2 linked regions of the Oryzias latipes genome follow. Each later gene encodes a partner of the first gene's protein in a complex. Links are inferred from orthologs where the notes say so. Each region holds a gene or a part of one and is shown in the gene's direction. Other genes may lie near its edges.

Region 1 (4,614 bases):
CACTCTTCAGGCGACGAACGACGCAGCCGCACCCCATCCGGAGCGAAGTTAGTAAGTGCCGGCAGCAGAGGGTGCTACCTGTGTTTACATTAAAACTATGCCCTTCATCTCTTCGCATCGCCTATATCCATTTGGGTTTCAGGTTTGGATCCACAGGAAAATAATGAAATGAAAAGTAAGGCTGTTTTTGGTAGGAAGACGAACAGCCTGGAACGCAACAGAGACTGCAACTCTTCGACTCTGCCATTCTTCATATCTGCTGCTACGCTAACAGGAAGTTGTTTTACACGTCATTGACGTATTTCCGGTCGAAAAATGCGGAAGTGTGAAAAAGGTCTATTACCACAGGCACCACTGTCACCTTCACTTTCCAGGCTTTCTCCAGTTCTTCTCTGAGTCTCTGGTATTTCTCCAGTTTCTCATGTTCCTTCTTCCTGATGTTCCCATCACTTGGCACTGCCACATCCACCACAACGGCTTTCCTCTGTTCTTTATCCACCACTACAATGTCTGGTTGGTTCGCCATTACCATCCTGTCAGTCAGTATCTGGAAGTCCCACAGGATCTTTGCCCTTTCATTCTCTATCACCTTCAGAGGTGTTTCTCTTTTTGACTTTGAGGTTTCCAGTTCATATTCTGCACACGTGTTTCTGTATATTATTCCAGCCACTTGATAATGGCACTCCATGTATGTTTTCCCTTGCAGCATCTTCAACCCCGCAGTTATGGTGTAAATGGCGTACACTTACAGTATATAGCGCTTTTCTACCTACAAGGCCCAAAGCGGTTTACAAACACAGACCCATTCACACACTGGTGGCGGCAGATTTATAACTGTAAACAATAAATCCTTGTTTATTTCTGAATAATGGTGTGTGTTTTGTCTATGACTTGATGCGTACTGATGGAATGCTGTTATCATACAATGGGTTTGTAACTAAATACAAAATTAAGGATTCTAGTAACTGTTATAGCAAAGTCTGTTAAGCAATTACCATACCTTTACTTAATCTTATTCATAACATATTACAATACAATGCAATCAAACCACAATTTCCAGAATTAATGGAAAAGTTAATGATATTCCCCTAAAAGATAAAAAAGGCAACAATAAACTCTAACCTTTAAACAAATAATTTTCTGCAACTTTAGCATAAACAATGAACGCGACTTAGAAACCACCCTAATGGACAAATCTTTTTCTTTATACACAAAGTACCCACTTCCACCTAAAATGAAAGAAACGCATTTTAAAATAATATCTAAAATTTACCCTGTTGGAGATTTTTTACATAAAAGATTCAAATTTCAATCAGAACCACGCATATTCTGTTCATCTGAAACTGAAACGTAGAACATCTCTTTTACAGTTGCAAAAATATTTTGGACTGATATTCACAGTTGGTTGTCACTCAAAGTTTTAAATATTCCCTTTTTTTCCTTATCTGATGTTCTTTTCTATATGAAAAATCTGGACCCGGGAATTTCTTTTTTTTCTATATGCGCATTTATAACGTTTGTTCACCCTTACTTGGTCTGTATGAGCATTTAAAAAAAACAAAACAACAAAAAACAACGTCATACCGAAATGTCACATACCAGGAAGTCGAATGCTCAGTTTTGATTGGTGGCTCACTGGACCCGGGCACGCTACAGCGTTTTGATTGGTGGTTTGGTTTCAAATGCGTGACCTGATTGGTTGTCAGAGGAAGTAGGGCTCGGTGATCTCAGCTGAATCCGGAACCAAGCCCTGATCGAAGGGCGAGAATTTGTTTCTTCAGCTGAATCATATGCAAGTATAAAATAAACGTCAGTTACCTTGTTTCGTAGTTTCAAATGTCGATTAAACGCTATTTTAAATATGCAACGCAACGATTTCATCGTTTATAATCTAACGCTTAGAAGTTAGCACGTTTAGCTAACACGTTAGCATCGTTCCGCTACGTGTTGTTGGGAATGTCACTCTGTGATGTAAAATTCCGTTAGCAGAACGTCGCTCTGGTAACATTGTTGTGGTTATACTATCAATATGTTAACGTTGCGGCTTCATGTTTGTCTATAAGTCAACATCTGCTGGTTAGTTAAATAAGCGTACGGGTCTTATGGTGTGCGTCATGTCAAAAAAAAAAAGCAGCGAAATCCTAACAGTTCTGTATATACTTTACTAGTCTGTATTATAATTTTGTGTGATGATTTTAATAAATGTCAGCTTTTTAGTCTGTGCGTTTTAGTAAGTTTTGAAGCGTGATTGCATTCTCCCTCCGACCTACATTTGGAGTTTTAGATTGAATTATTCATGTTAAATAACAGTTTGTGGCCTTTTTCAAATTTCCTTTTCTTTTTTTGCATGCACAGTTTTAGCTCAACATCAAAGCCAAGCCTTCCGCCTCAAACATGTCCTACGGTAAAGCGGAGTTCCGCCCTGTCCCGAGGGACTTTGGCTCCCTTATTCAGACATGCAGCTCCAACATCCAGAAGATCACACAGAACAGTGAGTCCTCCATTGCTGGGAGCTGAGACTCATTGTTAGTCACTGGCTCAGGAAGAAGTCATGTGAGAATGCTTACAAGAATCGTGATGATCTGCTGCTTAACTCAGGCCTGTTCAGGGGGGGAGATCCAGGTTAAGCAATCACATGGCTAATTCATCACAAGTGCTTCAGGAAAATACACTATTCTAAATGTTCAGGTTTGCTTCCTTTTTGAGATGTGTACAGTAAATAAGTGCTTACATTCTTTGGTACAAAACTCACAAATTAAGTTGCATTTTCTGCTGTCTATACAAGAATGGACACTAAACTATTTCTTAGCTCGTTTGCTTCTGCGGTTTGGATTGGTTTTTGTGTTTTTTTCTGTGTTGTTGTTTGATATCTGTGCACACAGATGATCCCTGAGTAAAGGTTTTGGAGATTAAGATTGTTTCTGTTTTCCTGACAGCCGCACAGATTAAGACCATGGTGAACCAGCAAGGGACAAGGCAAGACTCCAGTGAACTTCACGATCGTCTGTATGTCATCATTTCTTGTTTCATTTTTTTCTACCAGTTTTAATGAAAACACAGGCAGATGGAGGTTTTCTAGCTGGTTAACATCTGATGCAAATATCAGTGTTATCTTTGTTGGTAATAACCTCCTAATGAGGCTGAATATGAGACCAACACTGATGCAATTATTCAATAAGGCACCCTGACTTATGTTTAAGACAATATGAAAAAAAAAACTAACACAGCCAGTTTGCTTTACATGCATTTCTTGCACACACTGTTGTTAATCATATGTATTGAGAAGTAAAACCTTTAAAATTGTTATAATTCAGGCTTTTTGGTGACAAAATTTGGTTTCAGCTACAAAACCTACATCTACTGACCCAGGAGTCCTCCTGCTTTGCACATTTAAGTGATGCTGTGAGACCAGGAAGAGGTTAAATGACTGTTGCTGGTGGTTGTGGAGTAAACTTCAATAATCTCTTTTGTCTTCTGCGACTAAATGAATGTGTCACACTTTTTGATGGCGTGTTTTCACTTTGCAAAGAATTTTAAAATTTTGATTTATTTCAGAGCTGGTAGAAAAGCTCTATTATTTGATTTAAAAAAAAATACTAAGAAAATTAAAAATTTCAAGCTTTATTTGAATTGAATTGACAATAAAAGCAATTTACAGATGCATTAACAGTAGTGCATTACACATTGAGTGTGCTTTAGTGTGGAGCAGAATGGCTGGGACTGTAATAGCCTGAATCTGGGAAGCAGCTTCTTCTTGTGGCTGATGTTCAGTCCTGTTTTTATTGATGCACAGTTTTCTCTGCAGGCAGCAGATCCAGCACTACACTAACCAGCTTGCGAAGGAAACCAACAAACACCTTAAAGAACTAGGCTCTGTCCCTGCGCCTCTATCCCCCTCTGAACAGGTAAGTGGGAGTTTGTTGAAACGTCTGCATGAAGACCAAATCCTGAGTTTTTACCAAAACTGTCTCCCCTGACTGCAGTATTCCAAACACGGTGTGCAGCAGTACTTCAAAGTATTTTTGCAGCAGAAAGGTTTAACTGGAGGGAGATGGTTTGCTGTTGTGACCTCTGAAGTGATCAGATATTAGTAAAAGAAGGCGATTCTTGTAGTTGAGATTTGCTAATTTTTTGTTTTGTAAATTTTAAGCAGGAGATGAAAGCCGAGTTTATGTATAAACGATACAGAGGAAGCAGGGATTTTTCCTGAAAATCTTTAGGAAAAAATAGGAGTTAAGTTACAATGTTGCTGCTTGAATGTTGGAAAGTGATTGTCAGGATTGAACTTTAAAATCTTAACCGTTATCTAAATGCTTTTTTAAAAAGTGTCTCCTAATGTGCTTTGGGTGCTCTGCTCTGTCCAGAGGCAGCAGAAGATTCAGAGAGACCGGCTCATGAGTGATTTCTCTGCGGCGCTCAACAACTTCCAGGCGGTTCAGCGACACGCAGCCGAGAAAGAGCGGGAGTCCATAGCCAGAGCCAGAGCGGGATCCCGCCTCTCAGTGAGTGAGACTCAGGAATGGATTCACACAACACCAGGAAAAGTGTGGAAAACAACCACAATATTCCTTATTTTTCCTTTTACCTGTTAATCATCAGCATTTTTTCTCCTAC
Region 2 (4,589 bases), on another chromosome or scaffold:
TATCCTTGGCAAATCCTGCAGTATTGTAGGAATTGGGTATCTTTTGGGTTTTCCTGTTCAGGAATGCAAATAATAGGTAAGGTGCCTGATGTACCTTTAGTGGATTCGAATGGTTTCATTGTTTTTAGTATCAATATACTGTGAACTCAAACAGTCATCAGTGAAAAGAAGCAAAACTCTTACTGGTTTCCAGCCAAGAGGAATATATCCAGGCCCAACAAACATGGCGTTGAAGTAGTTGTAAAGGATAAGAACAGTCCAGTTTAAGAGCATGAGGAAGTTAATGCTGCCTGCAGTGGTGTCTAGAGGCCAGTACCAGATGACTGAGTCTATGATTGCCATGGTTGAACATATAGCAATGACAGAGAGGGCTATGATTGGGCCCCAGTGGCACAATCTTCGAACCTCATGGAGGTTCTCGAATCGAACTAACGCTGAAAGGAAATTCATATTCGTCCCACTGGAAGCTTAAGAAAATGTTCTTTTTTTTTTTTTTTTGTTGGGGACCTGAAATGTTTGGACTCTGCCTGAGTGTGCTACTTGTTTCTTATATCTTGCAAAGTCAGCAGTGCACACATTTTTATTTTCATCTTTCAAGAATCCAACTACATCCCTGGTCTGTGGTCACCCGGCCTTTCCGTGTCCCGGTGTGTCTTGCCCTTGAAGAGCGCAGCATGCTCCCCTCTCAAATCCTGAAGCACAGGAACCTTGTGAGAGTCCGTTTACCCATCTGATGGAGAGAAAGAGAGAAAAAAAGGGGACAAGCATTTATCATAGAGTGCTAAAAGAAAAGGCTATATTTCCTCTTTATATATGCAAAATAGGTGCTATTTATCTGGAAAACAGGTAGTTGTGGGTCACATATTGACTCCTATCTTTATATAGAAATCTATATATTCTAAAGAACGACATAACTATAATGAAAACACTTTTAATGGTCAAATTAATTACGTTTTATTGTTTTTTAAAAACAGAGATATTGGAAGGGTGAAGCTTTGAATGAAAGAAGAAGAAACTCCATGCACAACTAATTAGCTTGTCAAGTCAAGCTTAGCTAGCAAATTCAAAACAACATTTTAAGCTAATTCCAACAAGTTTCTCTATGTATCAGGAATTCATACATTCATACTAACATCTTGCAAAATTGTAATTAGCTTGGCTGTTTAGATAAACATGTTTCGGCTTAAGAGTAGATGCATGCAGCAGGTAGCGAAGAAGTGAGGTTGGTTAGTTAGCTAGCTCGTTCACCATCTTCCACTACCAGCACTGACAGGAAAACCATTTCAAACTCGAAAAAAGAAAGATGAATCAAACATGACACACGAACGTAAAGCTACGTAGAAATAAACACATTGAATAGTGTTTCAGTAAATAAGCTGTCACTTTAAATTAGTTTAACCTTACCACTTGCACTTCGGATTTTTGTTTTCCTCCCCTATGTGCCCTGAGAACCTTCCTAGTTGCGTCTCGGATTGAAAATCCGTCAACTACAAACAGTCAGATCAAATTTAAAACAAAATGAAAAAATATATGTTTTGTTAAATAACACAACAAAGAGATAGGCGTGATAGTTTTCCGAAACCCTCTCTCAGTAGTAGCGCCAACAGAACACCCAGTTCCTAGCCGGACACCTTTTAGTGTGACTCAAGGAAGAAGCTTGTTATTATTTTGAGCTAACTGTCAGCCCTAGAGCTACTTTGCTACCTAAACGTACTGGTCAAAATGTCTTCAGACTTTGAATCCTACGAGCAGGACTTTGGAACGACTACAGCCGAGTTAACAAATAAAATCGGCAGAATTCCCAAACTAAGTGGAGGTAAGACTTTTACCATTTTAGCGTCAATTAATGATGAGCTGGCAGGCTAGCTAGTAGTAGCAAGAAAGCCTCAGTTCTAGTAGAAGGTGTAGCTTTAATTGTTAACTCTAACTTGTTTGAAATCGTTATAAATATATTATGTTGATACATTTACACGTTTATATTCGCCGTGTGACTCAGTTACTGTGCTCTTTCTGTAGGAACAAAAACAAGTGACCGACTACCTGTGGTTATAATAAATTAATGGTAGAGGCCAGTGTCAAATAGAAACATTATGTCAAATTTATATTATAGATTTTAAGATTATAATTTAAAACCAAAGTTGTTCTTTAGCTTTAAGCAACTGGTTTTAAAGTATTAAAATATTTAAGAAAAATACTTCTAGATTCTACAGATGGCAAGAAACTCCTAACCCATCATAGCTGCTGCCTGTTTTCTGTCAACTTACATAATAGTATTAGAACTGTGATAATCTCTATTCTCTTTTACTATTCTAACATCTTAAACACTTTTAAAATTTAACATCATCAATAATTGTGTACTTAAGCTTCATTTAATTGACTAGAAACATATGTACTTTCCTATTTAAAGTACTCAGTTTAATTTATATCCCAGGGTATTTACTCCACTAATTTGAGAATGGGTTTCAACACTACTAAAAATGTCACTAACATAACAAGAGAGCATATGTGTTCAAATGAAAACAAAAGATCCAAAGTGGAACGTGCATTTTAATAATATTTAGTGGTCTACTACCATCAAATAGTCACCATTTTAGACTTTTACATCCAATGTTTGAAAGCACTTCTATCAATTCTTCTTAAGCCTCTATTTCTTATTTATGCATTTAGTTTTTCTTTCCCAACTATTGCTTAACTTCTGTTAACTTACTGTAGTAAATGAAAACCTTTTCACGATAATTTTGAGGATTTAACTGCAAACCAATACCCTTAGCAAATCAAGTTGTTGTGATATGTCATAAGGTTTTTAATCCCAGTGGGATATGATGCAAAAAGACAATGATTATATTGTACACATGCCTCAGTTAGTTCACATAAAACAATCAAACCATATAGTGTTGGAAGTCTGAACCTAATCATATTATTTACTTAAAAAATATGAACTGCACTGTCATGGTAAGCAATAAAAGAGACACTGTACATATTTATCTCACTTTAAACACTTCTTTGTCACATATGTCCCTGCATATCCATGAAGATGAAGACATTTCTACAGCATATTTTAAATTAGTTGCACATCTTTATTATGTCAAAGCACGAGGAGGACATGTGTTGGTCACAATTTGTGTTTCACAGTAAGACCATATTGTATTTGTCACTTTATTTATGGCACTTTGCTTTGTTTGTATAAGAAAGCATTACTACGGCAGTTATATGGATCACCTCACTGAAACACTTATATTGCAGCCTATACGGAATAATATGCAGTTCATATTGTAACTGTCACAAAATAGTGTGAGCAGATTTCAGATAAGTAGCATATAGTATATTATAAGAATGATTAAGTATGAATGAAGAGTGAATGAATAATGGACAAATTGTTAGCGCTTTGAGCACCAAGAAAAAGCACAGATAAATCTAATGAATTATTATTATTATTATAAAAGACATGAATGAATACAAATTTAAGTCTTTAATTGTAAAAAATCTAACAGAACTAAAAAAAAAACTTAAAAAAATTCACCTGAACATGTGAAACAATGTACTGCTGGTTAAATGCGTAATAGCAATAGACCGGTCAGTTTATTTATATGGCGTCTTACTATGACCGTATAAAACAAGGAGCTATTCATTGAAACTCAACACATTAAAACAACAGTTTAAATGATAACACAATTTAAAAGTTAAATAGTAAAATATTTATAATATTGGAAAATAAAAACACAGTCAAAATAAAACACACCAACAGAGCAGCGTCTAATGGGCAAAAGCCTGGCAATAAAAGTTTTCAGAAGCTTTTTATAAATAGACTGTGAGGACGCTTAGCGAGGCATTCCTCACCTTTGGTGCACAGACTGAAAAAGCCCATTCCTCCTTTAACTTTCTCTTGAACTTTTGTACTCTAATCAGAACCCAGTCAGCTGCCATGAGGCACTGACTGGCATGAAGGGAGAGACAGGCTCAAAGAGGCACGGTTAATTAAAAAAAATTAAATGAAACGGAAGAATCTTAAAGTTAACGTCCAAAATGCACTGGCAGCCAGTGAAGGAAAGCTCCAATTGGGGCGACGTGGTCCCTCTTTAGTGTTCTGGACCACTTAAAGAAGCGGAAGGGACAAGAGGCTGACTCTGAAAGTTACAGTAATCCATTTTAGTTTCTGATGAAAGCATGGATTACTGTCTGAAAGTGTAGTCTTGATAAACAGCGTCACCTTCACCAGCTACCTTAAAGAAAAGAAGCTATACAAAGCGAATTTAGCTATCACGTTTAAAATCACTGTCCGTTTCTGACCTAGATTTGTCCCAGACTTTTAAATGTGAATCAGGAGAATCAGATCTACTGTGGAGGGGTCACACGACTCACTTTAAACTGTCTAAAACAAACTAGGACATAGTTAATTATTTGTTTTTCTAGAAAATCCTATAATTGATAATGACACAGATGTTCTGGTTTGGATGTGATATCTTTGAAGAGTCATGCGTATTTTGAAGAGTATTTGTATGCCTGCCGGGAACTCACTACTGGAGGTTTGGCATTGCCAGAAGCAACCTTTTGCCGGTCACCCACCACAAAAACATATGCTGCCTTTCTAC

The links.
Region 2: the proteins of stx12 (region 1) and vti1a are in contact, whole or in part, in a crystal structure (PDB 2NPS), measured with the Rattus norvegicus proteins. The link is inferred for Oryzias latipes from reciprocal best matches to the Homo sapiens genes STX12 and VTI1A. Residues at the interface, in NP_075228.2 of Rattus norvegicus: Glu185, Ile188, Gln189, Leu191, Glu192, Ile195, Leu196, Val198, Asn199, Phe202, Lys203, Leu205, Ala206, Ile209, His210, Gly213, Ile216, Asp217, Glu220, Val223, Glu224, Ser226, Glu227, Val230, Glu231, Ala233, Ser234, Asp235, Leu237, Gln238; in XP_038945999.1 of Rattus norvegicus: Arg131, Arg134, Ser135, Arg138, Leu139, Ala141, Gly142, Ile145, Ala146, Glu148, Thr149, Ile152, Gly153, Met156, Asn159, Leu160, Asp163, Arg166, Arg169, Ala170, Arg173, Leu174, Glu176, Thr177, Asn180, Leu181, Lys183, Ser184, Ile187, Leu188.

Annotation. Positions count from the first base shown.
Region 1 is NC_019869.2:17,750,731-17,755,344, reverse strand, and holds the start of stx12 (syntaxin-12), read left to right. Parts: upstream 1-1,676; 5' UTR 1,677-1,792; exon of another isoform or gene 1,793-1,809; intron 1,810-2,355; 5' UTR 2,356-2,394; coding exon 2,395-2,491; intron 2,492-2,936; coding exon 2,937-3,006; intron 3,007-3,805; coding exon 3,806-3,905; intron 3,906-4,364; coding exon 4,365-4,502; intron 4,503-4,614. UniProt on the Homo sapiens protein: SNARE promoting fusion of transport vesicles with target membranes. Together with SNARE STX6, promotes movement of vesicles from endosomes to the cell membrane, and may therefore function in the endocytic recycling pathway.
Region 2 is NC_019877.2:9,985,462-9,990,050, reverse strand, and holds the start of vti1a (vesicle transport through interaction with t-SNAREs homolog 1A), read left to right. Parts: upstream 1-1,618; 5' UTR 1,619-1,722; coding exon 1,723-1,816; intron 1,817-4,589. Other genes in the region: palmitoyltransferase ZDHHC6, read right to left, coding at 1-53, 184-450. UniProt on the Homo sapiens protein: V-SNARE that mediates vesicle transport pathways through interactions with t-SNAREs on the target membrane. These interactions are proposed to mediate aspects of the specificity of vesicle trafficking and to promote fusion of the lipid bilayers.